4 linked regions of the Caenorhabditis elegans genome follow. The protein of the gene in region 3 purifies or fractionates together with the protein of the main gene of each other region. This does not show direct contact. Each region holds a gene or a part of one and is shown on either strand. Other genes may lie near its edges. The genes, in order: atic-1, marb-1, aprt-1 and clec-137.

Region 1 (9,584 bases), on a different chromosome or scaffold from region 3:
AAGCCCAATTGTCGAAAATTTTGAGGCAATTTTGAACTTCTCTGGTTTTTTAGATAGAGATACCTAAATCAAAAAGAATCGCTCGCAGTTGAAAAATCGACTCTGAGAACGAAAATCGATCGTATGACCCCATACAACTCGTAATCGGAATCAAGGGTTTAGTTTCTGAATCCTTGACTTTCACTGCTAAAATCTTGCTGATCTCGAACAGAAAAATTTCATATTGCAAAAATTATTGTAAATTTGTTGCGTCAGCGTCCGCTTCCTAAATTGCAACTTTGAGTTTTCTACAAAGTTGATCCTTTTATTTTTTCTAGTTTCTCACGGAATATGTAATCATTTTTCTTCCTTTTGGGTGAAAATCACTGATGTTTGCTACTTAATGTCGGAAGAAATATACATTTTCAAAATGTTTGATCTTTAAACTTTGTGATGACGTCAAAACTCATTAAGAATCAATAATTTTTATTGTATACGTATTTTTCAAAGTGGGGCAGAAATAGGTGTTTATAACTTTACATACATTTCCACCTGGATCGGAAAATTTCGTACATTGCGAACGTGAACTGTTCCGAATTTGTTCTTCCGCTTTACTTATTTTTTAGTTGGTATTGTTCGGCAGTGACATTGATGTCATATAGATTCCGCACATTATTTAATTATAAATCTTTCAACATTCTAGTAAATAGCTTCAGCCTTTCTTGATAACTTTTTCCCTCAGAAGGAGGAATTCTGGTCGACAATCCGAATTTTTTACAATTCGATAAGCCAAATTGTCAAAAATTTTGAGACAATTTTCAACTCCTCTGGTTTTTAAATAGAGATACCTAAGTCAAAAAAATCGCTCGCAGTGGAAAAATAGATTCTGAGAAAGAAAATTGATCGTATGACCCCATATAACTCGGGGCGAGGGGTCGTTTCCCAACATTTTGTTACGTAGACTACCACAAAAATTATTGAAATAAACTTCAGTATTTTGTTAATATTTTCCTAGAACCCATGATCTTACACTAAAAAAATATCCGCGGAAATTGACAATTTCATTACCTTGACTCTACTCTATCCACATATTTCTCTTCATATTGGAATATTAATTTCATTTTTTGGGAGTTGCTTGTCGCTTCAAAGCACATCTGAGCAACTAGTCTTTACTTCCAATCTTTCATTTTTACCTTCGTATTTCGAATTTATATCAGGAAATATTTCAGTTCATTTTTTAATAGTACAATTTCTAAAAAGTCTCCATGAATAAGACATCAACGACAAGTCCTAATGAATTGTCATTGGAATTTGTTGGTGTCGGTAAGTTATTATATTAGTTTATTTTAAAGTTTTAAAGTTTATTAGTAAGTTTATTAGTTTAAAAATGCTTAGATGATCGTCTCTCTAGGATGCAATTCAATAACAATTTCAAAAATTGTTCAAATATAAAATGGTTTTCAGGTGTTGTTGATTTCCCAGTATATTCTAATGAAGACTATTGGCAGCGAGAAGTTCCATATGCAATTTTCATTCTAATTTTTTGTACTTTCTTTATAATTCTTCAATTTTTGGTAATGCGTGTTATGATAACTGACAAGGATTTAAAAAAGTTATCTGCATTTCAGGTGAGTAATATAATTCATGATTTGTTTCTTTAGCCATTGCGAAATGTTCAGATAATGTTTATGATATCTTTCTTTGACACAATTCAATTATTTATACATCTAACTGCAGTATTCTACATTTTAAATTCTAAACCTCACTTTGATTTTCCCGATTATGTATGTCTTCGTTAGCAGATCTTATCCTGATTTTTTTTTATTTTCAGTTAATCGGAGCTGTGATGAATGCATCATGGGTCTCAATGCTCATTCTCAGCATATTTTTAAATATTAATCGGCTCATTTCAATTGTTTTTCATTTTCAATCCAACAAAATATTTAATTCTTTCAATATGAAAGTAGGTTATTAACATGATTTATCTTTTTTTCAATTCCGTCCTTTCAGATATATTTCACTATAGTTCTAATTGTATGGTGTATAGTTTGTTTTTTAAATGCTTTTGGATTCAGTAGAATGGTTTATTTATTACCTGCTTACACGTGGCACTATGCCGTGAGTACAACTGTGAGAAGTCCCACTTTATGTTTGGCGAAAGCTTCGCATATTGCCAAATGATAGTCAACTTTTCAATTTTATTTCCAGGCTTCAAATCCATTATCAGCTGTATTAAGGTCTGTAAGTGCTGATATATCTTTAATAGATGTCGTATTCTCATTATTTGCTCATTTGGTTATCTTCAGTTATATTTATTTTGTGAGTAAAACATACATATAATTTCGTTTCAAAGAAAATTGAAGAAAAAAACTTATCGAAAACTGTTTCTACAGTATTTCATGCAAAAAACTTTCAAGTACAATATCATCTACAGCTACCCCATGATTTTCGAATTAAATTTTCAATTCGTCAAATCTCAAAACGTTTTAGGTATATGAAAAAAATTTCACAGTAGTCGCAAACAAAGGGCAGATATTTGTATTAAGAATGTTTTGAAACTTTTCATTTCCCTTCAGAAGAGCTAATGTTTCATTATTTTTCAACATTTGTTGATTTTCAGAAAGCAGCATTATTGTCAAAGAAAGAATTAATATTGACAATTCAAGTATTATGTGTTTCTATATTTCATGTTATTGGGTATTTGACATGGGAATATCTACCAATTCCATGGGAATTACCAATTGGAGTGTTCATTGGACATGTTGTATGGATGATTTGGAATTCAATCAATTCAATGCTTTATGTATTAATTAATCCGTAAGTTTTAGAACTTTGGTTGACTGAAAACATTTTTAAAAAAAGTTGCAGTCGTATTCGTAACCTGGTATTAGCATCAATTGGAAAACAAACAGAAGTCAGTGGACGTACAATGTTTGTTGCTTCGCACGTATCAACAGTTCGACAATCCGGAGCTAAAATGTAGTCAGGTCTTCAAATAAAATATAACTTTTAGTTTTTAGAATTTAAGAAATAGAAAGATATCATTAGAAAAAATAATTATGTCTAGAAATAAAAACAATTTATTTCTTGTCATCGATTTCCAAACATTTATTTATAGGTCCATGAAATCTAGACACAGAAATCTTTTTACATGAAGCCTAATTTACTGCTAACAACTGAAATGAGAGGAAACAGATCCTCTCGATATTTTCAATTTTAAGGAATATTCTGCAAGTATAGGTGGACAGAGTAAAAAAGCTTTTGTCAAAGTAAAACATTGATAAACTGATAACACACAGAAACAAATAAAAACCGTCGTAAAACAGAGACACCATCACTTCATAATAAAAATGTTTGTGTTTTGTTATCAAGGGAAACTACCGATTGAATTTTTTTTTGAAATTTTGAAGATTTTCTGGCAAATCGAGAAAAAAAAATTAATGTACGTATATCTCCAATTCGAAGCTTTGATTTTATTATAAGAACAGAGAAACATTAGATTTTTATTGGTTTTTGAAACACCAACACAGATTTCAAAGTTATATAATATTTGCGATATTTAAAATCGATTTCAAAGTTCTTTTTATTTTCTACTTCTGATTTTTTTTCGATTATTAATTCTTTCATCTACAAGCAATAAAAACACAATAATATTTGCCTCGTTATCAAATTTATCTTATCAATTGAAAAATTGAGCAACACTGTTCAATTTGACCAGTCTAAAAGACATTTTTCATTGAAAAAGTTGCCAATTTCTGAGTGTATTTTTCCAAAAATGTTCAAGATTTCAAAGTTCACAAAATAATACTTATAAATGCATAAACTCATGCTCTCCTCATCCATCGTTTTCCTGTGATTATCTCAAAAGTTTCTATTTTTAGTGTTTTTTGGTTCCTTGTTCATTTTTTATTTTGTGTGATTTTTACGTCTCGAATAAAAAATATTAAACAAAATGTTAGAAATTGAATTTTACAAGACTATCGACTTGATACAATACATCGACGAATTGTGTGAAATGACCGACGGAAAATCACTTGGTAAGTAATTTCATTTTGAATTTTTTTAAATTAATTTTTCAAGCAATCCCGGAATAAATATAATTCATTTCTATTCTTTAAAATTATTTATTGAACTAGACATTCCACCAGGTCGAGGCGTTACGGGGGCACCTCTTCCCCGCCTCTAACCTCACCCACCTCGCTCCTTGATTTGGAAAACCCTTTTTTGTGTATTTAACAAATGAAAACTACTACAATAATGAACTAAAATAAACTGCAAGTATAAAGCTAAACATTTTTAATTTTCAGCCATTATATCGGTCTCTGACAAGACAGGACTTATTCCTCTTGCTCATGGACTTGTATCTGCTGGCTTAACACTTATTGCGTCCGGTGGAACAGCGAAAGCGATCAGAGATCAAGGAATTGATGTTCATGATGTGGCAGATGTAACAAAGTTTCCTGAGATGCTTGGTGGAAGAGTTAAAACTCTGCATCCTGCCGTTCATGGAGGAATCTTGGCAAGAGATACGGAAAGTGATCGAAAGGATCTAGAGGTGAGATAGCTTATTTTCTTTTTTTTTTGAATTTTTTTTATTTGTAAACTAACTTGTTTGTTGTCGAACCGTTTTCAACTGAAACTTGCAAATTATATTAAGTGGAAATAAATAAATTTGCAACATTTGTGCAAAACAATTCTGACAAAAGATCGGATTTTGTAGAACTTCCGGGAATCTCACAAAATGAACTTTGTACTGGCTTGAAAGATTTCACCATTACTTAGTTTAATCGAATTCATGATTGAATAGAATGAAGTGAAGAAAAAAAACCAAAAAAAGAAGGGCTAACGGGTGACAAAAAGTTGGTCCTTTCGTCAGATGAAGAAGGCTTATCTCGTGAAAATAAAGAGTTGAGAAGGAGACAAAAAGAAGATTAGAAGACAATTTTTCGTCCTCTTTTTCTTCATTTTGTCGTCACGACTTCATTCAAATTTCAATTCTTATTTCGAATTATATAATTTTTTTTTAAATAAACATTATATCTCGCTTTTGTTTAAAAAAAAAGTTAGTCTAATCTGAAACTTTGACAATTGTTTGTTAATTTTTTGAAGTTGGATTACAATTTTTTGGAAAACGGGTTAGAGAGTTTTTTCGGATTTTTTTGAATCAATTTTTTGTTACTTGCGCATTTCGCAACCTATGTCTTGCCTCTTGTTGGGATTAAAGTGCCAGCCCTGATGGCTAGAACACTTTGAGACAAAGTTGAGATATGTCACCTTTAAAATTAAATTATTAATTAGAAACCGAAAAAAAATTTCATAAAGTTAGCGTTCAGTTGAACGGAGAACGGCAAAATATTAGTCAAAAAACTTTGTTTGCCGGAAAATTGTATTACAGTCATATTGCATTTCAGGATAAACATTGAATCTCTGAGATAATCAAAAAATAATACTCCAGGAACATTATATTATTTGAAATTCTATTGTGTATTTTTAGAAATATTTTATCAATTCAGAGTGAAAATAAGATTTTTGTGAGATAATCTGTAAACCTTCAACTTTCGTCATCAACCATAGAGTAAAATTAAACTTGGAACATCCATAAAAATTGGCGTAAAAATCAACGAACACAACTGATTGGGGTGTTGTTATGATGCACCGAGAGCAAGCCTACGTGTCAGTTTCTACCGCCCGTGTCTATTCAATTACCTTCTCTTTCTATTTTCAATTGAATTTGTTTCATCTTCTTTTCCTTCCTTGTATTTTTTGGTTATTTTCTTTCTTCCAGAAACACAACATTTCATTCGTCTCAGTGGTGGTTTGCAACTTGTATCCATTCAAAAAAACTGTTCAATCCAAGGATTGCTCTGTAGAAGAAGCTGTTGAGAACATTGACATTGGTTCGTTTATTTCTTTCTTTTTTTGAGTTTATTCATCCGGAAAATTGACTTTGTTTTATGTTGCCATCTTTCTTTTTCCCCTTGTTCCTTTTGATTTCAATTTATGCACTTGACTTATTTTGCTCCTTTCGTGACTTCTAACCCTAAACCAAACATCAACATTTTTTCACAGGAACAGCTTAAATTGAAATCAGAAAATCATTTTAGCAGAACTTCATAACCAAAACATACGGCCTAGATTAAAAAGTTGAATTTTTTCAAATTTAAAGTGTTCATCCTGTTTTTAAATAAGTTACCAAATATTATAGTTCATTGGAATAGCATATAATTTTAAGGGGTGTAATTCTACTTCAAGCTAATAATTCAATCAAGTTAAAACGGATGTTCGTCAATGAAATAGACCATTCTTGCATTTTCAAAGACTTACAATGTTCAATTGAAAATAATTTAAACATTATCAAAATATATTTTTTGTATAAAAAATAATATTTCGGTCGCCTTCCATTATTATGATAGGGGGAAAATTGTCACTTTTGGATGAAAATAAAAATTCAAGATTTTTGATAAGTTTTACTATGTTATGTAATTCGTCATTTTAGCATTAGTGAATGATTTAATAATTGGCAATATTATCACATACAATACTATGATCAAGTAGTTTTATTTGAGCTAATTGAAATATCAATTTCGTGAAATTGGGCACGTTCAGGTTCTGAAAAATCGTTCTCTACTTATCACTGTGAAAACATGTATGTATTGTTCTTCTCCCTTCCTAAATCCTTTCTGACACCAAAACAATTATATTTTCTTCTTGTTCGTCTTTTTTAGTTCCTCAAAATATAAATTCAATTAACACGGAAGCTGGAGAATTCACAAAAAAAGACAATACAACCAACAAAAAACTGAGAAAATAATAATTCGTTTACACTTTCATTCTATACTTCCTCTCAATAAGTTCATATAATCTGTGATCATCTTCAGAAAATTCTTTCAGAAACATTTAAAGGAGCAAATCTTACGAATGCATCATTTCGTAAAGCTTGAGCTCTAGTTTTTGGTATCATTGAAATTTCCATATTATAACTTCTAATCGAATGGTTTTTTTAATATTAAAAAAAGGATAAGGTTATAGACATTTTATGATCTTAGCACAAAGTACAAAAAAGTGGAAATATTCGTTCAATTGTACCCATTGTATTTGTTTTTCCAACCGTTTCCTACATTTTTATCCCATTAAAAGGGCTTTTGTTTCATGAATCTTTCACCTTTTTTCCTGTTTTTCCGGGTATGTAAAACCCGCCCAGATTTTTTCTAGAATCTATATCACAATATAAACTCATATTCTTAAAATGTTGTTGTGTCCGGTTTTATTATTAATTGTACAGTAGGACATCAGAGAGTAAATCTATAAACCTTCAATTGTCCCCGTGGGTCCATTTTCATTGTAGCTATAAAAGAGAATGAAACGTTCGATTTCAACTACATTCTCAATTTCAGGAGGAGTCACGCTTCTTCGAGCAGCTGCCAAGAATCACGAACGTGTCAGTGTGATCTGTGATCCTGCTGACTACGATCATATCATTTCGGAGGTTAGTTTTAGATGGTTAATAAATCATCACAACCGATGAAAGCTTCAATAAGGCCAGTAAATAAATATGTGGGAAATAATACTAAGCTACTAAATTACAATGATTAAACATTGTTATCAGATATTTATATGATTTTTTTTCTACAGTTCACTTGCCAGTTTTTTAATTTTATTGAACATATTTTGAGCCAAAAATTTACTTGTTTAGAGATTATTCGGAACCAGATAACAATTTCGGATGTTTCCAAAAAGTTTCATGATTTTGAGAACAACTGGAAAACCTTGGATGTGGTGAAAAACGTTCAGATTTCACTTCTCGCTCCAAACTTTACGAATTTTAAAACAAAAACTATGTTCATTTATTGCAATAAGCCAAAGTCATGCAATCTGGTTTTTGAAAAGAAAAAAATTTAATTGCAACGCCGAAAAAATAGTACCTGCTCGTCCAGTATTAGTAAAAGCGAATGCTGGACGTCCTATTAATTCCGGTTTGACATCCCTAACTAAACAAATTTCAGAACTATTTTTTTCAAGTTAATTGTGATTTTCTGTCACTACATTTTTTAAATGCACATTACGTAGGCTCTAAAATGAGCACAGACATTTCCTTGTTCATCGATTCGTTCTTCAAACGATGTTAAAGCTTCTTGATCACAGCAATCCACAAATAAAAACAAGGATCCTTCATATAACTTATCACCACGCTTTTCTTGTATTCTCTTTTTAACCCGAAAAGCCAAAAAAAGGGAGATGAAGCTAAAAGAATGAATGAAATATTTTGACACGCTCCGCAAGTTCCTTGAGGGAGCCATTTGTCGTCGAAGACCCTTACCAACCCACTTTTTGGTTAAAAAAAGAAAGAAATATCTCAAGAGAACACCAACTCTTTATAAATGATCCAAAACTGGGTGGACGGCGACGTCATAAGTTTTTTCGTGTTAAAGCCTTTTTTTCTATTTTCCTATTTTTGTTACTTTACCACGTTTTTCTGTTCCTGTTTTTAAAAAGTGGAAATTGCTCTCTTGAGAGTTTTGCAGTGGTTCCAGTTCTAGAAACTCATGATTTTCTTGTCTTTTAAACATTCCACGAAAAATTTTTGAGGTTTTCTAAGAAGTCGGTCGAATAATCAATTCCAATCTTTTTTTTTAATATTAAATTAAAAATAATTTATAAACAGATCTCAAAAATATTCTTAGATCACTCAGATATTTTCACAGGTGTTTCTAAAATTGCCATACAACCTATATATCTAAACAATCAGCGTCAACGTCTAAAATTAAATTTTACAGTTAAAATCCGGAGGAACTACCCGCGAACGTCGCCAACTTCTAGCCTTAAAGGTGAGTCAATTCAATTTTTGGTAAACCAAAGTTTCAGATGAATGTCACCCAAATCTTTTTCTCAGTCTTTTTCTCTCAATGAGACCTTAGTCTCATTCTATCTGTCCTAATTTTTCAAAATGATGAGTGAAAATGGGACACAACCCAAAAGCGGTAATAAACTTTGTGCAGAAAGATTTTATGGAGCCCCACGATGGCCAAGAGAAACTAGTTGACGCGCATTCATTCTTTTTTTTCAGCTTTTACATTTTTTTATTTTGAGACATTGTTTAAATTTACATTTGATTTTCTTTAAATCTTCGACTCGATGATTATCATATTTACTAAGTTTTTAAGTTTCTATTTCTCGAGAAATCCATATAAAAATGAGAATAGAGAAAAATTCTACTGGTTATTGTGTTCTACACTAATTTATCATTCTGTTTTCAAAGGTTATATTTGTTGAAGTTTACAGCAATATTCGTTAATCAACAAACACTGGCGAAGAGACCTCACAAAAGGCCTTATAAAAAAATTTTCCAGAAAGTGATAACTTTAATAAGAAGTTTGACAAGCGTCGCCCAAGTCTTGCTCAAGTTTCACCTTGGGTTTTTTTTGAATTTGAATTTGTGAAGTTCAAACTTGGAATTTAAAATTATATGTCAATCTCTTGAACTACTTTTACTTAAAAAATAAAATCTCTGATTAAGAAGTTGGCATACCTTTCAAGTAAGACTTTTCTGAATCAAATATGATCCAACTTTTACTAGTCTTTCATACAAACTTTATCAATGAAATGAT
Region 2 (7,532 bases), on a different chromosome or scaffold from region 3:
TAAAATCGAAAATTTCAGATTTCCCAATTTTCAGAAAAATCGAAATTTTTTAATTTTCAATTATTAATAGTTTGAGGATTTTCTCTGAAAAAAAGTTTTTTCAACAAAACAATAAAAAGTTTATCGAATTTCGTTTATTTTGATCAGAAAAAACATAAGATATAATTTTTCCAATTTTCAGAAAAATCGAAATTTTTTCGAAATATTGGAAAAAACGAAAATTCCTATTTTCGTGAAAAATCGAAAAACCAACACCCTGGCTTTGGATGCTATAAAAATTTACAAAAAATATTTTATCTCGACATTTTTCAGCACTTCCCGGTTCTTTCCTTCCAAAATGACATCAGAAGAATGCGCGCGAAGAGAACAACGTCTGTGGTGAGTAAACTTTTGATTGAAAATAATTTCCAAGAATAAATTTAAATATTTTTCAGATTCTTCGTAATTCTGAGAGAGCTCGTCTTGTGTTCACACACATGCGCGAATTCCTCGAAGGTCGCAAATCAATTGGTTCTGTCTCATCTGATGAATATCGTCGACAATTCGAAAGTGTGGAACGTGTCTACGCCAGCCCATTCCCAGTCAATTCGACATGGCAACACTGTAAAGGATCATCTCCAATGTATCGTGGATACACATGTGGTCTATGGACAACGTTCCACGCTCTTACTGTTCACACATATATTGATACAATCAAAGATGACTATGTGAATCCAATGAAACCACTGAGCACAATTCAGGGATGGGTGAAGAGCTATTTCGGATGTGAACACTGTCGTAATCATTTCATGCATATGACGACGACACTGTTCCCATTGAATGAACGACGAGTTCGTCATCCACACGATATGATGACGTATCTCTGGAGAGCTCATAATATTGTCAACAATCGGTTGCATGGTGACTCGACAGAAGATCCACAATTCACGAAAATGCAGTTCCCAGCACCTTTCTTATGTCCAACGTGTCATTCTGGAGGACAGTTTTCGCGGCGGCAGGTTTGTTTTTTTGGCATTTCTGAAAAATATAATTTTTTTTTCAGATAAGGAACTTCCTACTCCGCTATTATGGAAGCATCAAACCACATAATCGACTGGCAGATCAACGTCTCGCCTTCTGAACGAACTTATTTTAATAGTCTTCAAAAGACTTATATAATGATGTAAATAATCTCCTTCGTATTTATATAAGTTCAAGATGCCTTCTAGAATGCCTGCAATCCTAGCTCGTTCTCCCCCAATTTATAACAAGAAACGACTTTTTTACCTCGAACATATACTTTCACCTGATACTTCCTATCATTCGACCCCTTTTTACTCGTCTTCAATCCCGATCAGTTGTTATTTTCTTTTTTCCAGATTTCGATCGATTAGATGTTTTTTTTGTCCAAGTTTTTAATTCATTTCCCCCACTAGATTCCCATCATGATTCCTGACCACACACACAATTTGTATTACATTGATGCGGGTTCCATTTCTCTCTCCAATTTTGCATACCCCCTTCCACATCACCCATACTATATTCACTTTGTGCTTCTTCATTCTCTCGTTCTGACCAACCCATATTTTGCCGTCGTTCCACTTAGAAAACACGTTCCTCGAATCAGGAAAACATTTTTTTCGTCTGTCTGTTTGAATATTTGGGTATTTTTCTTCTCTTTTTCTCGATTCATTTCTGCATATTTCATCAACAGCTCGCGAATCCAATCATCATCATTTTGTTCGTCACAACAGATCAGATCACCCACCCATTTTATTGTCTCTGCTTCCAATTTATTTGTTGCCTCTGCCTTTTTCATTGCCACGTGGTGGCATGTGTGTTGTACAAACCTGACTTTTCTGAAAAAAAAAACTGAAAGTTTTCTTTGCACCATCGTCACCATCATTTTCGCAAACTACAAACATTGGAGGTCAATGGACTAGCGGGCTCTACTGTGTGAGCCACTTGAAATTTTCAAAGCGCATTTCGTTTCCGCGAATTTCGGAATGTTTACCCACACTTTTGAAACATGATGTGATGGTCAAACGGTGGCAAGGAGATGCGATGAAAGAAACGTTTTGCAAAAAGACTCAAATTACCACCATAATTTATGGGACGAAAACCGGTTAAATGCTGTAATTACACATAGTGAGGTACTAAACACAAATCTACATGGCAAAAAAAGAAGCCGTAAACGGAAAACATTTAGAGCTTCGACAACGGGACGAGGCCAGTATCAGGGGCTGAAGTAAGGATCAACTTCTGAACTTCCTTGAACTTTGGATGATCCGATCCACCGACAAGTCCGAGAATGGTAGCTTCAGAAGTTGTCAAGATAGCTCCAGCTTGTTCCATCTGTTTGAAAGCGAAATGACGATCAGTGTGACTGCGGCTGCTGACAGCGTCCACCACGACATGAACGTTCAAGCCACGTTCCAAAAGATCGTATGTAGTTTGAAGAACGCATACGTGTGCTTCGATTCCGACAAGGATCACATTTTGAACTTTCTTCAAAGTGTCTTCAGTTGGAGGAATGCACATGGAAAACTGAAATTTTTGGAATAAGACTGAATTATGAACAAAAATCTGAAAATCTACTTTCGTCTTATCAAAGATCGGAGTATTCTCGGCGAGACCTTCTTTGAGAGTTGGAACTGTGTGTCCGAGACCCTTTGGATATTGTTCAGTAACAATGGTTGGAATACTCAGGATTCTGGCAGCATCGATCAATCTACGCGAAGTTGTAATGATTTCTGGGAAGTATTTGATATTTGACCTGAAAATAATTAAATAAATTATTTTTGCTCATAAACTAGTTTCTTTCAAAACTTACGCGAACTTCTCTTGAAGATCACAGACGAAAAGAGCACTGTTCGTTGGGTTGATACGTGCGATCAGCTTACGCGCAGCCATCACCTGAGGAACAGAAATCAATAAAAAGTTGAGTGATTCGAAATTAAATAAATAAAAAACAAATGCAAACATCCACGTAAAACACAAGGATTTGACAAAAAAAGATAAATAAATGGACGGCTTTTCAATTAAAAAAAAATTTCAGAGAACAAAAATTAGTGTAAATTTACGGTAAACAACGCGCGATTCGTAATCTCGGAGTGTCGTTGCTTGAGTTTGTGGCGGTTTTTCAAATTTCAAATTTTTAAAATGTCTACTTTCCTGTTCAAATACTGATTTTCTACGTATTATTTATAATATATTAATTGTAAAATGTTTAAAGGCTCTCCAGGACAATTATAACATTAACAATTTGTGTTCACACCCTAAAAAACATAAATTCACCTGTTGATTCCGTGAATTTTCCCAAAAGGATGAAACACTGCACTGCATAAAATAGTTATATTTAATAACCTATTGATCAATTGATCACATTGCCCTGTATGGATAATTTAGGCAGTAGAAAGTGTGGACTACAGTCACTAATGCCAGGAGGCAATTCCAGCTCTTATTGATTCACGAACGCGGCTGAAACACTTGACCCGTTGACTAAGACGACCGGCTCATTCATTCGTTTGTTACTTATCTTATAAGACAATCTTTTTATTTTATAATGTCGTGGTTAACTAATATCTTTCAAGACGGGAATATGACACTTTCAATGGATAATTTCCCGATTCTATTCGGGTTACTGTACGCGGTTACTGTAGCTCTGTTAATGTTGCAAATAGTTGAGGAAAAGGCAAAGGTAAATTTTGTTGTTTTTTTTTATATTTTTGAATATTTTATTAGCATTATCAATGAAATTCTCGAGAGTCTGAAAATTTCTCAATTTCAAAAGTAAATTCCAATAATCGTGTTCCCCTCAAGCTATTTATTGGAGCCCCTCATAAAAAATTAAGAGGTGTTTAAAGCTGAGAAGATTTATTAAATTTTAAAATAGACAGTAGAACGGATCGAATTTTTTTTGGGAAAATGTGTTTTTTTTGAAAAAAATGCGAAATATTTTATTGGAAAATGTTTGACTTTAAAAAAAAAAACTTTCGAAAATTTGGTGAAAATTAACTAAATTTTCTTTGGAAATTTTCCCAGTTTTACTTTCTAGAGGTTCACTAAATTCCTGAATGCATGCCAAAATGTATAGAGCTAGGTGGTAGGCAGGCATGTAGGCAGGCATCTTGACATTCTTTTTTATATACAACGTTTGCAGGCTCATTACCAACTAAAATTAATGTGCGAGTCTAGTGAGGAAATGATTAAAGAGCACCAGAAGGAGATGAAAATAGAGAGAAGTAAAATCAGCAATCATTTAATCAAAATTCGAATGCATCAAAGAGATTTTGTGGCAAAAATTGGTGGACTTCAGAGAAAACTGAAAGAGCGAAACGAGGTGATAAAGGAATTGAGCCAAAAACTGGAATCATTGGAATTTGCGGAGGAAGATGCAAATGAGTTGGTTGATGATTTGGTACAAGCCAGAAAGATTATTAAAGAGGTTCGGATTTCTTACATGGAATTAAATTTTAAAACTATAATTTCAGAAAAACGAAATGATTGAACTGCTTAAATTCGAGATCGAGTTCAACAAAACAAATTTCCAGAATGACTTAAAGAGTGCGTTGCAAGGAAGTGAAGAAGAAAATAAGGAAAATAATAAAATTAAAAGTCTTTTTAAAGTTAATAATATTTAATTTGTCCATATAATTTTGAAATAATTTTTGATTAACTTAATAAAGTATGGCAAGGAAAAACTGTATGTATCAGGTACAATTACATGTTTGTTAGAGTTGTTGGCAGGCAGGCACGTAGGGAGATATTTATGCTGATTTGAATCGAATCATTTTTAATCCAAGCCACAACCGTGATTTTTTCACAGGATTTTTAAATGTTGGACTATATTTTGAATAGGTAGGAACATAGATAGGCAAGATTATAGTCATGAAGTAGACATGACTATAATCTTGGTTTGATGTAGGTTTGATGTAGGCAGGCATGAAGCAGGCATAAACAGCTTTGAATTTAGATTTCAGAATATCAAAAACTCATTCTTTAAAACCAGAACACTTTCATTTTTTGGCGATCAAATAAAATATTGGAACCGTGAAACACCAGTAAGCAACAATGAAATTAAAAAAAAAAACAAAAAAGAGAGTAAAAAATCAAATCTATGGATCATTGGCATATGGGGACAAATCTCCAATAAAGTTCTCCTGAACTTCCTCCTCCAATCCACATGGTCTTGTGAATTCTTGTCCTTTCTCGTGAATCCATTTATTTGAGACCCATTTAACTCCTAGAAGAACTGGACAAGCAGCATGACGGGTACGAAGATCTCCTTCTCCATCTCTCTGAAATATTTCCAAATTGCGAGGAAAAATAGAAATGAACACTTACTCTAAGATTATACCAGAAGAGAGCATCATTTTTCGATGGGAATACAGCAGTTCCAAGATGATTGAAGACGGTTGCTCCTCCGCGTTCTGGTTGACTCATCTGAAAAAAATTGTTTGGTTCAAGGAGAAACAGAGGGTTCGTTCTAGTTATCTGACAATGTGTTTGATCTACAGTAACTGTCGGGTTTTCGCGTCTGTAAAATGTGACGTCACACACACTTTTCTCGTAATTTAGGTCAGTACCAAAAGGATATAAACATCAGTTTGTAAACTTTTCAAATATTACTATTTTTTCATCTATTTATTTGTAAAAATTATGAACCCAATAAGTTTGAAAATTTCAAAAAAATCAAAATCTTGAGAGTGAATGTTTGACTATATTTTGAACGATTTTTGCTCTTTGAGTTTAAAGTAAATTTTGATATTGTTATTTTCAGTTTCGAATTTATCGAATTTCCAGAAGTAGGCATTAGAAAATACATCAGTTTCAGCTAAACAATCATAAAAAGAAGATAATTATTAGATTAAATAATAAAAATTGTTCGATAGAGCCAAAAAACTATAAAACCTCATTTTTAAATATCAACAGTAAAATTTTAAGACCCCTTAAAAATTTTCCGTTTTCTCACAGCTCCCACGCGCTAAAATCACAAATTTAAAAGTTCAAACGTTAAGATTCCATCACATACTTTTGGATTAGCACACCTCATGCAATAACAGCTAAAGAATTTTCATGCAAATAAAAAGTTCGTGATGGAATCTTATTAACCATTAATTATAAATGAAACATGTCTCACATAGAATAAAACAGTCGCAATTCGGTTTCCAGTATTGAGCGTCTTGAATGCATTCTTCTCTTCTTTCTATAAAATACGGAAAATTAAAATTGAATCGAAAACTCACATAGAATAACACAGTGGCAATACGATTACCATTTCCACCGTACGATTCGGCAGTTTTTCTCTGAAAATTAGCAGCAAGACAAGTCAGCAGGAAGGCAGTAAACCAACCAGTGACATGTCGTAATGTGGTTCATAGTGACCACCGAGACCGTAATTTGCAATCTGAAATTATAAAAAAGAATTGAAAATTGTTATTACCCGGGCAAAGTCGAAATGTGGGTCGTAGTGACCTCCAAGACCGTAGTTAGCTACCTGAAACAGCAACAATTTTGTTGAAAATATTATAAACTTTAATTAATATTTTTAGTAAAACTTGGGGAATCCTCTAATGCCTATATTCTAGGCTGTAGGCATTGAAGGCATTTTAGACCTTTTTGCTGATGTGACTAGCCTAGAAAACTCAAAAATGGACACAAGGAATTTTCAATTTTTTGTAAAAAAACGAAAATATCTAAAAATGGAAATTTTAAACGATTTTTCGATTTTTAGAATTTCAAGAATTCTTCGAGTTTTGTCTTTGAAAATTAAAAGTTTATCAAGAAAGTCTATGAAATAATTTAATCCCCATTTTACATTTTCTCAAAATTACGAGAAACTGGCAACTTTCGAAAAAATAATGTAAATTCATTGCCCGAGAGGATTTCACAAGGAAAATATATAACTATAGTGCGCATTTCCGTTTCAACACAAAGTCGGCAAGCACGTACCTGCCTGCCTGCCTATCTAACGCCTATCATAAAGGCATGAGGCAGGTACGCAGGCATTTATGTGCCTTCTTAAAGGCCTTAGCCATGTTGCAGGGCTCTTGCTTACCTGAAGCTCCTCTGAAGTAGCCTGGTTCAAATTGGTGAAATCTTCAATTCTTCTGTTGACTCTATCAATAACTGGATCCAAATCTCCCTTCAACCAAGCACTGAAACATTTTTGATTCAAGAAATTTGATAATCAACTTGATTTAGTTAATCTTTCAACTCAAAATAAATCAAACAAAACCGTTCCAAAAAACTTAAGCACAAACCTTTTTGAGATACGGTACGTGGCATGTTCCAGCTCGCCAGTTTTCGAATTTTGGACAGTTGCTCGCTTCAGCTAAAAAATAACACACTTCAGGCAACAAAGGAGAAAGAATAGAAGTTGAAAAAGAAATCAGTAAGTCAAATATCTAATTTTCTAAGTTCACAGCATGTTACTGTACAGTTAAACGTTTAATACCTTTCACCTCTTGGCAATTCGATAGTCTACAGTAACCAGGCTACCATCAGAATCCTTTACTGTAGCACGTTCTAGCTTAAAATTATACAATTTC
Region 3 (7,954 bases):
ATCTTCTTCCGGAGCAGGAAGCAGTCACCAGACTATGAATCCATCGAATATGAATGTTTTAGAGCAGGCCGAATTAGTTATCGATGGAGGTGATCCAGGTAATATTTACGAGTTTTATTTACCACCTTTGCAAACACAGCTTTTCGACTTTTTGCATGAGGTATATTAAATTCAAATTTTCCAGGGGATGAACAACAAGTTGCCCATGAAGAAATTGTAGACGACGGTTCGACTGAAATGGTTGTTGATCACCATCATCATCCACAACTTCGTGGTAATCCAATGCATCATCATCACTATGATAACCGTCAATCAGCTCCTGCTTATCAAGTTCCACAACAACAATCTCAATCAATTCGTAGAGGAGTTGGCCGTCCGATGGCTCCTCGTCCACAAAGTTACCCACATAATATGGATATGGTTCAGAAATTGCAAAATAAAAATGTCTATATGCCAGCTCAGCAGAGACCTCAGACAAGAATTTCTCCAGCCGGCGCGAGAATTGTCAGCTTTGCTGGAAGAAAACGAGATAATTCTGATGGGCTTCCTCCAGGTGTAAAGGTAATTTTTTTGGTCGAGATATTAAATTTATTAATATTCCTTTTCAGAAAATGAACATGCCCGCAGCTCGCCCACATCAGCAGCAAACTCAACAACAATCTCATCTGCAGCAAGGTCAACAATCACAGAAAAATCTGCAACCTGTCAAAGTAGTTCGTCTGGCTTCAAGTGTGGCTCGTGCAAATCCGACAGCATCCGAACATGCTCTTATCGAAATCGAGAATAATATCAAACAAACAATAGAAGATGCAAAAGTCGATACTGAGAGATTAAGAGAATTACAAGAAGCTGACTTCTCACAGGATGAATATCATCAATATCTTGGAATGTTGATTATGGATCTGGAAAGATCAAATGAGGCGAACTCGACTCTGACAACATATTATCGCGAACGACAACGACATGAAAAGACTATTTCGGAAGCCAGAGAAAATGCATTTTCAGCTAGAATTCGTCAGTTGGAGACTGAAAATCGAAAATTGAGGGATTCGATTCATGTGATGTATTATGGAAAGTTCAATGAGGCTGGAGGTCATAACAATATTTATCGAAATGATCATATGGTAATTTTCAGTTAAATTACATTTTATTAAATATGAATTACAATATGTTTTTTTACAACTTTCAAAATTGATAAAACAATAAAAATAAGATATCCCTTTTGCAAACATTTATTGGATTTCAGGGTCAAATGATGGTTGAAGAGCCCGAAGAGCATGTTGTTATTGAAGGACACGTGGGCAATAATCAAGAAGGAGTACGTTTTAAAAAAAAGTCTATTATACAAAAAAAAGAGCTTCAATGTTTTGAAATGCAGAATAAAATCTTGAACCTGTAAATTATTTTCTCAAAGCTATGTAAACGGAAAACCAATGACTGAGAACTGAAATTCCATTTTTATTACTAATTTATCTTAAAAGTACACCTTCTGGGGAAATGCAGTCGAAACTCTCCAAAAAACTTAACTGCTTTGTCATCGAGCAAATTTGGAAGAAAGTTTGAATTATTAATTTATAGTGAAATTACGAATTTAGTAAACATCTTGGTTTTTTTAAACTTATCAAAATGTTCGATTTTGTTTCTAAACAATAATAAAAAAGTTCGTAATAATAATAATAATTTATTTTAGGAAGAAGTTCCACAAGAGTGGATTGTCGAGGAGACTGTTGATGAACATCGAATGCATTTGGAAGGAATGGAAGCAGATGATCATATGGTTGAGGATCAACAACAACAGGATGAAGAACATGAAGATGTTAAAGATAAAAACTTGCTCGCTGGTGGAAGTGGAAGATCTGGATGAAATTTTTAACTTTTTATCTGGAAACCTGATTAATTTATTCGTTTCATCCTCTCTTTCATTCATCTATATTCTTCTGTTGTTAAATTATTCCTTTATGCCTACCGGAATCGCAAACTAATCAAAACAGACTAAACTTTACGAAACTACGGTCAAAAACTGTCACATTGCGTTCCAAATATTATTTATGTTTCCAATCCCAAATTTTGAAAATTAATTTACAAAATTCTCGGGTCTTATCGATTTCATCACTTTTCTGTTTAACTTTCCAATTTTTAAAATTTACAATTCTTTTTAATCTCACCTTAAGCTCCACAGGATCCCATTTTCATTCTTGATTATCAAATTAACATCTCTAGAAGGCAGGCCCTTCTTTCTTCCCACCCCCCCCCCCCCCCCCCCCACCTCTCTCATTATTCCCAGAACTAGTTTAAGAGCATTTTAAGCTACACTTTGAAATATCCAATACAAAATAAAGTTATAGTTTGAAATTTTTTATTCTGATGAATCTGTTGATATTTCCTGTTTAATACAGGTTCTGTACCTAAAAAGGATTACCGAAGATAGTAAATTCAAAATATTGTTTTGTAGAAAAATAAAATGACGGGAGGTTTAATTGTTGCCGGTTTGGGTCTCGCTGCAGTCGGATTTGGAGCTCGATATGTCCTTCGAAATCAGGCGCTTATTAAAAAAGGAATGGAGGCGATTCCAGTTGCTGGTGGAGCTGTTAGTGTTTATTTTTTGAAAGTTTTAATTTAAAAATGCCAAATTTCAGTTTAGCAACTATTATCGTGGAGGTTTCGATCAAAAGATGTCACGAGCCGAAGCAGCGAAAATTTTGGGCGTTGCGCCGTCAGCAAAACCGGCGAAAATTAAGGAAGCTCATAAAAAAGTCATGATTGTAAATCATCCAGATAGAGGTAATTAAAATTAATTTCTCTGAAATGAAATTTTAAATTAAAGTATCGTATTTTCGTTATCCGAAATGCAAAGTTGAAGGCGGGTCTCGCCCCACTTTATTCGGATTTTTCCTTTTTAAAAATTGCGAGCAAAATACTAAAAATATTTTACTTTTTAGTTTTAACCCCTCATACTTTAAAAAAAGTTAAGAAAAAAACCCTAATTCTTTTTCTCTTTTTTCCACTCATTTGCTCTTCTCACTCATGCTCAATGAAGCAGCAAATAATGAGTTACTCTTCCAAAATTAGCTTAGAGCTTCATTAAACATGAATTGCCAGATTTTAAAATGTTTTTCTCATTTTCAGGAGGATCTCCATATTTGGCTGCCAAAATCAACGAGGCCAAAGATTTGATGGAATCATCGAAAAGCTGATCGAAAAAAACTATTATTTCTTCTATTTTATGTTTTGTTTTCATTAGTGTGATGTAGAATCAATGAAATATCAGATTTAAACAGATTTTTTTAGAGTTCAAATGTGGATAGAAATACCAGATATAAATCTTCTTTTCGTGTTTTTTTAAAACTTTTCCCTCGGGACTTATTGAAAAGTCGGTTCTTTTCTTTATTTTTGAAAAAAAATTCAATAACTTTCGGTCATTTTTAAATTTCAGTAAAAAATTCCGATAAATCTGTAGTTCCTGTAATCTTTTACGATTTTTTTTTTCAATTTTCAAAAAAAAACACAATTTTTTTCAATTATTCCCTCAAAAAACAGCGAAAAATCTAACAGCATTCTTTTCCTTTTATCCTAAATAACATAATTCAAAATAAGAACTTTGAGCAGTTCAGACAATCTTATCTTAGATGTCTTATCAATTAATATTGATTTTTCATTCGTTATAATTTCAAATGATAAGCTATCAAATGTGTATCTTCTTGTTTGTAACCGACCAGTTACCATTTAAAAGATACTCAGATAGTCATACAAAAAACATTTATATAGGCGGTGCACTTTTCTCCATTTTTCTGAGTGGAAAAACGCGTAGTCACCACTTAAACGTCAACGGAACCTAATTTGATATCCGTGAGGGAGATGCTCCAGACTCCGCCCACTTCTTTTCTCTTCTCCCATTTTCTCTGCTTTCTCCCTTTCGTTTTTCATCTTTTATATGCAAATATATTCCTCCCTTCCACAATTTATAATGTGAACGTTGATATTTGGAATTAGAAAAACAAATTATTTTCAAAAGCCTACGCTTCTTCAATTAAAAATCACATGGCTCCTGAATAAGAATTGAATGAAAATTCATTAAAATAAAAATTCAATTTACCTCCAAATAATCTGTCTTTAAAATTTGTCACTTTGTCATTATTTTGATACCCTCTAATTTAATTGAACTCTAGTCGACATCATCGAAACCTTATTAAAAATTTATTATTTCTCTATTTTCATCTCAGCTGAGATCTCAGTTCAATATTTAATAATAAACATTTTTTGCAGACTGAAAATGACACTTCCACGTTTCGATCAAATCCGACCCAAGATCGAGCAACACATCCGGGAGGTGAAGGATTTCCCGAAGAAAGGCATTAATTTTCGGTATGCACAACACGTGTATTCAGCTCGACCAACGCCTCGAAAATTTTCAAAAAAGGCGGGAAAAAATATTTGAATTCGCCAAGAGGAATTTCACCGCAGCGCGTGCAAAAATGTCTGCATTTGCGCGTGACGGTGTTTGCACAAATTACACCGAATGGTCGAGCTGAAAACACGTGCACAACTTAAATTTTTATTTCATCGTAATTTCAAAAGATTTTGATATGCGTTCATATTTAGCACGAATTTATTCAGATGGGTCTCGGCGCAAAAAAAGTTTGTGGTAATTGTTTTGTAATTTTTCCTTGCATTTTTCACTTTTTTTCGCGTCAAGACCCATATGAATAAATTGATGTCCCTTTATGATGGCGTGCCAAAATCTTATGAAATTACGATAATTTTAAACAGTTTTAAATTATATCATTAATTGAAAAACGGGAAGAAGTTAGGATTTTTCAAAAAAGAAGGACAATAAAAGACACAAAAAGAGATAATTTTCGAAAAATCTAAATTTCTCTATATTTCAGTGATATAATGCCATTGTTCACAAATCCTCAACTCGTCAACGAGCTCTGTGTTGTCATTGCCGATCACGTTCGTCATACAGTTGGACACGTGGATTCAGTTGCTGGCTTAGAGGCACGGGGATTCCTATTCGGACCACAAGTTGCCATTCAGCTGGGTGTTCCATTTGTGCCAATCCGCAAGAAGGGAAAGCTCCCAGGAGCAACGATTGAAGCATCGTATGTGAAAGAATATGGAGAGGATCGGGTTGAAATTCAAGAAGGAGCAATTAAAAATGGGGATATTGTGTTCTTGATCGATGACTTGTTGGCTACTGGAGGCACTTTAAGAGTATGTAACGTTTTTAGAAAACATTTTAAAATTTTTTTTTGCAGGCTGCCACCGATCTAGTCGTGAAAGCTGGTGGAAAAGTCGGTGAGGCATTTGTTCTCATAGAACTGGCACCATTGAATGGTCGTTCCAAGCTTCCGGATGTTAATCTGACAACTCTCATCTCCTATGATAGCGCTTAATAACCATATCTGAAAATGACTGAAAGCTTCTCGATTGTTAATTCACTTGATCTAAATATAAATTGATTTTAATAAAAGTTAAAGTCTTTATCATTACAAACTTATTTCAATCTTTAAAAAAATGTGAAAGGCAAAAATAATAAAATCATGGAAAGAATGACAAGGGAGCAGCAGAGAACAGAGCAATCATTTGATAAATTATTAAAGAGAATGTTTTGTGGGCGATGAGAAATCATGATCAATTTGTATACCTCGTCATATGCAAGTGGGGGCTTGAAAAATTAGATGAACTGAAAAAAAAGGAAGACCGGAAATTTTGGGATTTTGAAACTCTTTCAAACGATTTTCAAGTCAATTTTTGAAAATTAACCAGAAATTCGTAATCAGGATTCAATACGTACTATAAGAACAGATAAAACAGATCAGTAGGAATACAAAAATTAAAGGATTTGTACATAGAAAATAATTGAGCTGAGCTTCAAAAAGAATGAACAATGACCGTAATGTAAAATGAAAGTGGGAGTTTTTTGTAGAAAAAGAAGTATAATTATGCAAAATTAATAATTCAAATTATCAAAAAAATACCAGATTATTATTACTTATCCATACTCGTCTCAAAATGCAAATTGTGCTGTAATTGTTGTAGATCATCAAGCATTGTGTCAAGGTTCTCAAGATGTGCGTTGAGATCTTCTGCCGAGTGTGAAGGCTGAAATAATTGACTTCATTTATAATAAAAATAGAACTATGCCATGTCCTCGTTTTTGAGAGAAAAGTCCGCGGTTTTTGAAAATTGGAAATTTTACGATAATTTTTTTGGAAGAAAATTTCAAATCATTTAATAATCCAGTTTTTTCTCGATATTTTTGGAGATATGTTTGAATAATTTACTGTCATTTTTAAATAGATTTTTTTCTAGATATCTATAGTTTACTATAGTTGTCCATAGATTCAAAAACTGACAATTTTCTATTTTATCCATAAAAATTAGAAATGTTTCAAATTTCAGTTCGTGGTAGGAAAAGTTTCAATTCAAAAAATTCAACTCACATTCATATTTGTGTTCATCTTCTCTCCATTCGATGAACCAGCTGTATTAGATTTAATGGGTGTGGTTTCTCTCATTTCCATACATTCTCCACTCTTTTTATCTGATTCTCCTGCATCAGAAGATGCAGAGCATGATGCAAATGGACTGTAGATATTTGCAACATTGACACGTGGTTGAGCAGTTGCTCTTCCAACTGGAACTTGCCGTCCACCGGCTGCAATAATAGTCGGTCGAGAAGATGATGATGCCGCAGAGTGTGGTGGAGGTGGTGTTGCTCCTGCCAATTGAGTGAATGACCGAAGAGCATTTGCAGCTGATGAATTTGGAGGTGTTCCACGTAGAGTACGGTATCCATCGATTACTGTAGGTGGACCAGAAGGTGGAGCTTGCATTGGGAGAGGCGGAGTCGAGGCGGATCCAATTGCAGATGATGAACCATAAGGACTTTCAAAGTCGATTCTTTGAATCGGCTGAAAAAATTCAAGAATTATTTTTTAAAACAATTAATTCAAAAATGACTCCAACCTGATGCCTTCCAGTTCCTGTATAAACCACTTGAGGTGTTCGTTGTCGTCCTTCAAGACTTTGTGAGCTTTGATGATAACTTCGTGTTAGAGTTCCTTGCCCTGAAAATTTCCGTTAAAAAAAAGGAAAAAATAAATGAAATTCTGTGTTCAAATTAGCTTTGTCAAAATGACTCGAAGACGTATTAAGGTTCATCGTTTTACTTTTGTTTTGAATAAACGACATATACCAAAATACGCCTTCTCCGTCCGTGTTAATGGAAAAAAACGTGTAAAGTAAAAACAAGGTAAATGAGAGGCTGGGAAATGGAAAAACAGCAACATTCACGTGAGTAAAAGTAAGAAAGTCTCTACATTGAAGATTCTGGACAAAACAGACATTCACGACACTTTGTAGATTGATATATTACTGGTAAGGATAGAAATATCAGGTTAATTGATATTTTGTTATTTTTTAAAGCAAACAACTAAAAATAAGCCAAGCAAAGCAATCCTTTTCACTGCAAATCGAAATATCAAATCTTGTGTACCGTGGACTCCCGTGACTACAGCCTTGGCTCTTGTAGTAACTGAAGGTCTTTCAATCCGAACTTTTGCAGAAACTAATGCTTCAACCGGCTCTTCATCTTCATCTTCAGTAGTTCCAATCGCGGAACAAATCGATTGTGCCATCGGTGTAGTTCTCGAGCCGGTACCTCGCTTTGGAGCTCGTGGTGGCCGACTTGTTAGCGGGCCTGATGCTTCACCACCACCTCCACTACCATGGATAGATCCATAAACCGAATCTGGTATGAAGACGAGAGATAAACTAAGGATATAAAGGGAAAAGAGGAGGAGAAAACTTAATTTAAGGTAGGCACAGTGGGAAGAAGATTGTTAGAGAAATAAGGATAATTTGATAAATATTGGAAGGAAGATAAGATCGAATTTAAAAATACCTTGTAGATGATGGTATCTAGGTGTGGGTGATTCAATGTCAGCAG
Region 4 (7,713 bases), on a different chromosome or scaffold from region 3:
AAACTCAAAAGTTTTCGGAGTGTTTGATCGCTAGAGATTTCCTATAAAACCCACATTACTTTCAACAAAATGTGTTAAACTCTCAGCTGGGCCTCTCGAAAGTTCCCGTTTTTTTGGGGTTTAGTGTATTTTGGCATGTGTTTAGATCATTTTCTTGCCATAAAGTTTTCATTAAGCTCCAGGCATGTGTGCTTACCTACATACATACCTCGAACCTGTCTGGCCTACTTCAGGAGTTTGTTGGCACGAGGTAGGCCTAGATTGCCTTGAAGGCACACCGGCAGGCATCTTCTGTTGCTGATGTCACTAGGCTTCTCCTTTCACACTTACTTTAACCCCCATTTCCTGCTTAACCATTCATATATATGTATAATACAGTGAAAAACCTCCCAACCATAAAAAGTTAATCATCATCACTGTAAAAAAAAATTGACAAAAAATCCAGTCCCATCTATTTCCTCCATCATCTCTAAATCGCGTATTACCGAATATTCGCATCATATAGACCGTGTCGTGTTTTTTTTCTATGTTGGAAAGGATAGGGATTGATGTACTTATGTATAATGGGGGAAACGAGACTCGAGATTTTTTTTATTCGCTTTTGTTTTTTACAGTTTTCACTGTTTTGTAGGGAATTTCAATGTTATTTTTTTAATACTAAGTTACAAAACTATAGAAAAAATTGAAATTTATTTTTTCAGCTGACAATTTTCAATCAAAACTAAAGACAAGGTGCATCACATTTCTAGGACCCACATTTCTTATAAGTTTCTCAAAACAATTAAAGTGGATGTCTTCCACACAAAACTGCTTCCACGTCGTTTCCATATGGTTTTTCATCGTCTGTATAAGCCTGCACTGCATTTTTTCCCACACAAAACTCCAAACTTCCCCAATTCTTTCTTGTTTCTGTGCCATTAGCCTTGACAATTCCAGATTTTAGAACAATGCAATCAGCGGCGAATCGGAATCTGTAATATTTGATTTTTTATGATTTCACGCTATTTGATAATTATGTCTAATTTACATTGGACCATTGTCAGCTTGATGAACCATATAAGCAGCTGGAAGTCGACGTTTGTAATGGCTCAGCATGAATGTAGTGTCACTATTGACATCATCGAACAAAAATAGATTATTCTTGATATTACAATCTCCTTTTTCTTCTGTACTGTTGAATCGATGACGAAGTATGATTTCGACTTTATTAATACGACCGTTGCATTTTGGAGAAATTTGACCGTCAACAGCATAAGGAGCTTCAATTCCATGAGCTCGGGCGATTTCTGAAAGTTTTTGAAGATTACAACACTGAAAATGTTTTTATTGAAAAATATCCCTACCAGAAAACACTTGAATCTCGTGCTCATTTTCTGGAATGGTCAATGAAGCGTTCACATAACTGCAAAATGATCGAGCTCGGTCTCGGTTTCCCATGTTCTTGAATTGGAAAACCTGAAATATGGTCATAAAGCATTATGAACACAAAACCCAAAACTTGGAACTTACGCCCAAACACCAGTCCTTTGTATGATTGTTCCTTGCAGTTGGGACTCTCTTGACATGAGAAAACCCTTCTGGGCATTGTGGATCCTTTGCGAAAACCGCAGTCAAAAATAGCAAAAAGAAAACGAACATTTTTCTGTCAGTTTTGAAAAGTTTCGGCGGGGTTTTGTACCTATTGAAATCGATAAAATTGTGACTAAGCCATGCGGAGCCATTATTTTCCGACAGCATTTGATCGTTTCAACAAAAGCGTGATGTTCAACAACACCCACAAAATGCTCTACCGTAGTATTTATTCTTCTAAACATTTTGATTTGGACGTAGCAGATGCTTGTTGTACCTATTTTCTTGAGGTTTATCATAAATTATACATTATAAATTTACTCTAAAAGTTTTCCGGAAGCCAAAAAAGAGATAATGTAGAGCTCTCCGATTTTTCTTGACACAGAAAATAGGAAGCTTTGAGAAATTTTTTACAATTTTTAGGCCGTATTATCAACAAGATGGAACTTAAAAACGAAAAGTTCGAGACGAAAGTTAAGATGAATTAATTGACTTTTAGTTTACAAAAATGGTATACACACTTGTCAAAACTCTGTAAAAGGAAATGTTTCGTTGCGAAAATGATTTAATTGTAAACCCGCACAGGGATTTTCGTCGCCTAAGAATAACCTGAAGTTCACTTGCGGAAACAAATTGGGTGTACCTTATCTTTTCAATCAGCTAAGGTAATAAGAAATATCAGAAAGATTTCGGAAATATAATATTTATTAAATATTGAAAATTAATCTTTCCAGAAATGATAGAATACATTTACTTAGAACGGCAATCGGCCACAAAGAACGGCGGTGACATTTTTTTCTGGTAGCCTCTTGGAGCCAGCTAGCTGTCCCATACAATCCATCAAATTAGTGTGCCCATCTTTTAGTGTTCCATTAGAATAGTGATACGATCCTTTTTCCAAAACGGTACAATCTGCTGTACTGCGATACCTGAAAATGAAATGTTGGATGCAAATAGGAAAGTCGATTTTCAAAACTTACTCGATATCATCATCAGCTTGTACACTTCTTACGTTTGATCCTGCCGAAACACCTAGCTTTGTGCGAATGAATGAAGTATCCGTATTAATATCATCATATATGAACAATTCATATTTAATATTGCAAATTCCTTCTTCAGAAGTTTGATTAAATCGTTTTGCACCCTTTACTTGTCCTTTGTAAATTGCGAATTTGCATCTTGGAGAGAGTTGTCCATCAAGAGCGATTGGTACGGAAATGTTTCTCAAGCTAGCAGTCTCTGGAAATTTTACATTTTTCCGCATGCAGCAATAAAAAAATCCTCAAAAACTTACTAGAAATCACTTCGAGTTCGTGTGAATTTTCTGGAATACTCAACGACGCATTGTAATAGATACATACTGAACGGGCTCGGTCGCGATTTCCCAGATCCGTTTCATTGAAAATCTTGAAATATCATTTTAAAACTATTTAGGTGTCATTGATATGAACAACTTACCCCCAAGCACCATCCCTTTGTAAAGTTATTTTTTGCCGTCGGTGTTCTCTTGAAATACGTAAAGTTTCCCGGGCATCTTGGATCCTTCGCAGAAAATTCTGGGACTGCCAAAAATAGTAGGAATAGAACTAACATTTTATACTGAACTTCATAGAAGGCTTTCAGCATGCTTTTGTACTAGTCAAAAGCTATAAAACAGTTGTTCGCCCCCTGTAGCGTTTCCGATTCTGCGGAGCCATTATTCCCCGAATACATCAAAATGATACTGTATCTCGGGGCTGGATAGCGGAAACGACGCATTATATTTCTTCATCAGGTTGGATGATTTCATTCAAAGAAATTCTTATATAACACGTAGGTTGATAGAAGTTGTCAAGAATATTGAAACCATGCGCTTTGAAACAAAAAAATATCTGATCTAATAAAGATTCTAACAAAAGTACCCTCATTTTCAGCCCTTTTATCAAAAACATTTAACACCAAAACTGTAGAGAAATTTGTAACACATTCTTTGTCAGCTTATAATTTTTGGTAAAACAAAACACAACCTAGTTATTAGCCGTCAAAATTGAGCAACTGAGTGCAAGCCTATGACTAACATAAGGCCCTCTTGCTTGTTATGATACCTATCCAAAAATTTATGTACACAAACATTTGTGGTTGAAAACAAGACTTTGAAGCTAGATTTTTTAAAACCAAGCTTTTGTCGGCTTCCGAGGTAGAATATAAAATGATTTACAAGAATAAGTTTTTTTTTGATTTCAAGCTTCGAAACTCTTGATTTGTTACAGGGTAGTTTACTTTTAAAATAGTCCTGTCTCTGTAAATTTTGAAATATGATTAGCTCCAATCTTTAGCTATCAAAAAATACTTATTATGAAAATTATGCATATCCTCGACTGATGTTTGTTGCAAAATTGGTATTTTCTGATATAATCACAAGTGATGAATTCGAACAACAACTCCAAAATATTTATTAACAACTGTCTTTTCTGATCAATTAACTCAGAGAGGGAATCTTCCACAAAGAACACTACTATATTCGTGTTTATTTTGCTTATCCTTTTCCCCAAAGCATCCGAGCAATTCAGTTCGTCCATCTACCGCATAGAAATGTGTTCCATTAGAAAAGTAATAGTATGCATCTGTTAATGCGTTACAATCTCTGGTGAAACGAAATCTGTAAATTGAATTCTAGACTTGTTTGACGTTGAATCTAGAAATTTTCATACACTTACTTTACTCCGTCCTCCTGACTGGAGTATCCTCCATTAGTTCCAGCCGAAGTACCTAGTTTGGAACGGATAAATAAAGTATCTGTATTGATATCATCATATACAAACAAATGATTGTTAATATTGCAATCTCCTTCCTCTGTTCTTTGGTCAAAATATTGTTGGCTCTGTTCGCCTCTGAAAATAAGGGCCTTGCATCTTGGAGAGAGTTGTCCGTCGAGTGCAATCGGGAGGGAAATGTTCCGTGCGCGAATAACGTCTAAAAATTAATTACACATTTAGAAGCATATTTTTCCTAGCGATTTTGAATTGAAGACATGTCTTTAAAAAAAAACATGATCAACTTACCAGAAACAATCTCAAGTTCATGTGAATTTTCTGGATTGCTCAGCGAAGCGTTATGATAGAGACAGACTGAGCGGGCTCGGTCACGATTTCCCACATCCGTTCCATTGAAAATCTTGAAAGTGTATTTTAAAACTGGGTACTGTCTCTATCAATAACGTACCCCCAAGCACCACCCCTTTGTAAAATTATTCTTAAAAGTTAGTGTTCTTTTGACAAAAGTAAAGTTTTTTGGGCATCTTGGATCCTTTGCAGAAACCGCCGGAACAACCAAGAATAGTAAGAATAAAACTAACATGTTATGAAGAGTTCAAGAAGAAGCTTTCAGTATGCTTTTGTACTAGTCAAAAGCTATAAAAAAGCTGTACATCCCTTCAATGATTCCGTTTCTGCGGAACCATTATTCCCCGAATACATCAAAATGATACGGTATCTCGGGGGCTGGGCGGAAATGACGCATTTTATTTTTCTACCTATTTTTCAACTTTTTCTAGAGGGAAAATTTTTTATAACACAAAAAAAATCGAGTCATGATATACATTTTCAAACTAGGCATACATTGTAAGAACAATTTATATTGTGCCTCGAGGACAGATTTCTCTGAAAAATCTTCAAAAAATTCAAAAATTGTTTATACATTTGGCACTAGTTAAATAATTTTATACTGGAGCACATCCACACAGAACTCCGAAGAATGGCACCTCGCCGACTTGTTTGTCTGGTTCTTCGCCGCACCTGAAATTTTTTTAGTTTTGGGTTTGAAAATCCTGCAAAAAAAAAACTCACAAAAAATCCTTCAAATTTCCAGTATTCTTGATTGCCTGGAGATTATGTAGAGATAGACATTCAGCGATTGTGAAAATTTCTCTGAAAACTAGAACATGAAGCTTTTATCCCACTGGGTTCCTTACGTAGAGTCCCCCTTCTCCTGATACTTGTCTGATGAAGTTGGCGGTTCTCCAGACCACTTTGTGAGAATGAACGCTGGATCGGTGTGATCGTCCTCCAGAATAAATAGCTAAAACGATCGGGATACTTGAAACACACTTTTCGAAACAAAAACCTCTTTTTCTTTTGCGCAAAGTCCTCCAAACTTTCTCATTCGCCAGTCGCTGAAACCTCGGCATTTTGGATTGAACACTCCGTCCACTGCGACTCGTTTATTGTTTTTTCGAATTAAAGCTGAAATTTGTGTTCAGTTTTAACTTGCCTAAAAGTTGTTTGTCAGTTTCTGTCGGCTTTGTTGTGCCTTTTAGCATTTACATTCAATAACAATGACGTTGCATTTACATAATTTGTTTGATAAATGATAACAGTGATTGGCTTTAAGCATGTTAGTAAATACATAACTTTCAGAAAAGTTTTAGCCGCCGGCTCTATTTTTTCACATTTTCCAAATTTTTCAAAAAACCAGAAAATTCGCTTTCCAAAATAGTACGAATGCTAATCGCTGCCTCCAGGTGTTTGTTCAGCTTGCGAGAATTTGTAAAATGGCATCACGCCGATCGTATTTTTAATAAGAGACGAGAAGGGCGGGTAGGCCCTATTCTACTTGTCTGCCTACAGGCCTACTTACTGTCTTCTTTTTTTGTCATTTGAAGTATTTAGTTTCAGTAAAATTTAGAAAAAATTCCACGTAGAAAAACAGCATGTCTACAAAAAAATTTTCGTCACAACCGAAACCCTTCTATTAGATTTAAACTGCCAATTGAAAAGTAGGTAAGTGGGCATGCAAAAGGCAGGCGCCTGTCACCTTGTAGGCAAATATTAGTCAACTGGAAATTGTTCCGTTGGACTTTACATATAATTTTTCTAATTAACAATACTCTTATTTATTGAGCAGCTACTTACCATTGATATCATCCAGCTCCTCTTGGTTCTCGACATTCGTAATAACTGCGTCATAATCTAGGCAAACTGATCTTGCGATAGGTCGATCATAGACATCCTCGTTTTCTATTACCTGAAAAATTAAAATTAATTTGAAAATTAAGTTTGTCTCATTTCTAAATTCAGTAGCGGGCAGAAATTTGGGATCGCGATAAACCACTAAACTTTTGAAAAATTATTTCCTTTAATCCACCTTCATACACCAGTTCTTCGTGAACTTATTCCTCTGCGTCGGCTTCCTCTCATACAACTTGAATCCTTTCGGACATACAACTTCTTTCTCTGTTGCATTAGATGCTTCAACAACGCCGCATAAGGCAACAATAAGAATCAGAAAAACACTTCTCATCGTCGTCGAGAAATAAAGATGTCGAGTGAAGACAATTTGATCTATATAGGGGAGGTTGACTTTTAGTCTTCACATCATCTTGAGACGGGCCATCTGAAGGAAGGAAAGTAGACACTGTCTCTTGATGACACATACATTGAGTACAAATTATAAAAAAAACCATAGTTTTTGGACAAGGCCATGTTGCATGATAATCGTTGAACTTTTGAATTTGGACGGGAATAAACCTTGATTGTTACAGTTTTTTCTTAAATTACCTACTGAAAAACTAGTCAAAATTTGTTTTTTGAAGACAAAAGTTATCTAGTTTTTGGAAAACGATTATTAGAAACGTTAACCTTTAAAAATGGAATGTATTGTACAAATCATAGTTATTGGGAGCCTTCTATTCAGGCACACAATGACCGTCTTTGACCTACGCCTACCTTACACACATATCTCGCTTGTCATCAATTTTCTGACAAACCTGTCAACTGTGAACTTACTTATAATTTAATGTTCTATTTGTTTATGGTTAAGAGTTCTTTAAAATAATATATTGGAATTTCATGTACCTAAGAGTTTCCTTTTCCCCTTGAAGTTTAGCTTAAAGTTAAGAAGTACACATTAATGGATGACCTACAAAGCGGGAGTTTATCTCTCTCTCTCTCCCGATTATAGTTTGAATTGTTGTTTTTTTTCATTACAAAGGGAGCATGTTCAACAAACAACTCCGAATGTCCATTCTAGTGCGTTCCGATTGTCTTTCATTCTCTTTTTCTCACCACACCAGGGCTCGGATGTCCTCGGAATCCATGAGAACAAAATGATTTCCGCGCCTCGAACAACTTAGAGATCACACGATCCATGGAGACCGCCGACGTTCCG

The links.
Region 1: the proteins of aprt-1 (region 3) and atic-1 fractionate together in Caenorhabditis elegans (co-fractionation; one large-scale study listed by BioGRID). This does not show direct contact.
Region 2: the proteins of aprt-1 (region 3) and marb-1 fractionate together in Caenorhabditis elegans (co-fractionation; one large-scale study listed by BioGRID). This does not show direct contact.
Region 4: the proteins of aprt-1 (region 3) and clec-137 fractionate together in Caenorhabditis elegans (co-fractionation; one large-scale study listed by BioGRID). This does not show direct contact.

The regions. Positions count from the first base shown.
Region 1 is NC_003282.8:7,878,073-7,887,656, forward strand, and holds the start of atic-1 (Bifunctional purine biosynthesis protein ATIC), read left to right. Parts: upstream 1-3,955; 5' UTR 3,956-3,994; coding exon 3,995-4,016; intron 4,017-4,286; coding exon 4,287-4,534; intron 4,535-5,764; coding exon 5,765-5,876; intron 5,877-7,373; coding exon 7,374-7,465; exon of another isoform or gene 7,466-7,498; intron 7,499-8,753; coding exon 8,754-8,804; intron 8,805-9,584. Other genes in the region: srt-73 (Serpentine Receptor, class T), read left to right, coding at 1,245-1,302, 1,444-1,607, 1,659-1,763, 1,811-1,942, 1,990-2,097, 2,188-2,298, 2,600-2,796, 2,848-2,962.
Region 2 is NC_003282.8:12,206,116-12,213,647, forward strand, and holds marb-1 (Isochorismatase domain-containing protein 1), read right to left. Parts: upstream 2,896-7,532; 5' UTR 2,893-2,895; coding exon 2,813-2,892; intron 2,756-2,812; coding exon 2,578-2,755; intron 2,527-2,577; coding exon 2,185-2,526; 3' UTR 2,073-2,184; downstream 1-2,072. Other genes in the region: F35G2.1 (Sulfhydryl oxidase), read left to right, coding at 313-378, 435-998, 1,043-1,120; F35G2.3 (uncharacterized protein), read left to right, coding at 3,593-3,679, 4,142-4,426, 4,473-4,622; phy-2 (Prolyl 4-hydroxylase subunit alpha-2), read right to left, coding at 5,097-5,279, 5,326-5,424, 6,122-6,187, 6,425-6,478, 7,040-7,139, 7,245-7,315.
Region 3 is NC_003279.8:5,674,375-5,682,328, forward strand, and holds aprt-1 (Adenine phosphoribosyltransferase), read left to right. Parts: upstream 1-4,263; 5' UTR 4,264-4,270; coding exon 4,271-4,362; intron 4,363-4,886; coding exon 4,887-5,214; intron 5,215-5,258; coding exon 5,259-5,396; 3' UTR 5,397-5,488; downstream 5,489-7,954. Other genes in the region: T19B4.5 (uncharacterized protein), read left to right, coding at 35-98, 185-561, 609-1,124, 1,247-1,318, 1,691-1,864; dnj-21 (Mitochondrial import inner membrane translocase subunit TIM14), read left to right, coding at 2,462-2,587, 2,637-2,781, 3,127-3,194; Netrin receptor unc-40, read right to left, coding at 5,992-6,105, 6,447-6,917, 6,973-7,073, 7,910-7,954.
Region 4 is NC_003280.10:4,614,896-4,622,608, forward strand, and holds clec-137 (C-type LECtin), read right to left. Parts: upstream 3,196-7,713; coding exon 3,028-3,195; intron 2,976-3,027; coding exon 2,864-2,975; intron 2,809-2,863; coding exon 2,550-2,808; intron 2,499-2,549; coding exon 2,324-2,498; 3' UTR 2,257-2,323; downstream 1-2,256. Other genes in the region: clec-136 (C-type lectin domain-containing protein), read right to left, coding at 782-971, 1,028-1,286, 1,344-1,455, 1,510-1,638; clec-138 (C-type LECtin), read right to left, coding at 4,033-4,207, 4,266-4,521, 4,611-4,722, 4,771-4,905; clec-139 (C-type lectin domain-containing protein), read right to left, coding at 5,267-5,342, 5,394-5,474, 5,519-5,625, 5,671-5,789, 6,459-6,570, 6,691-6,846.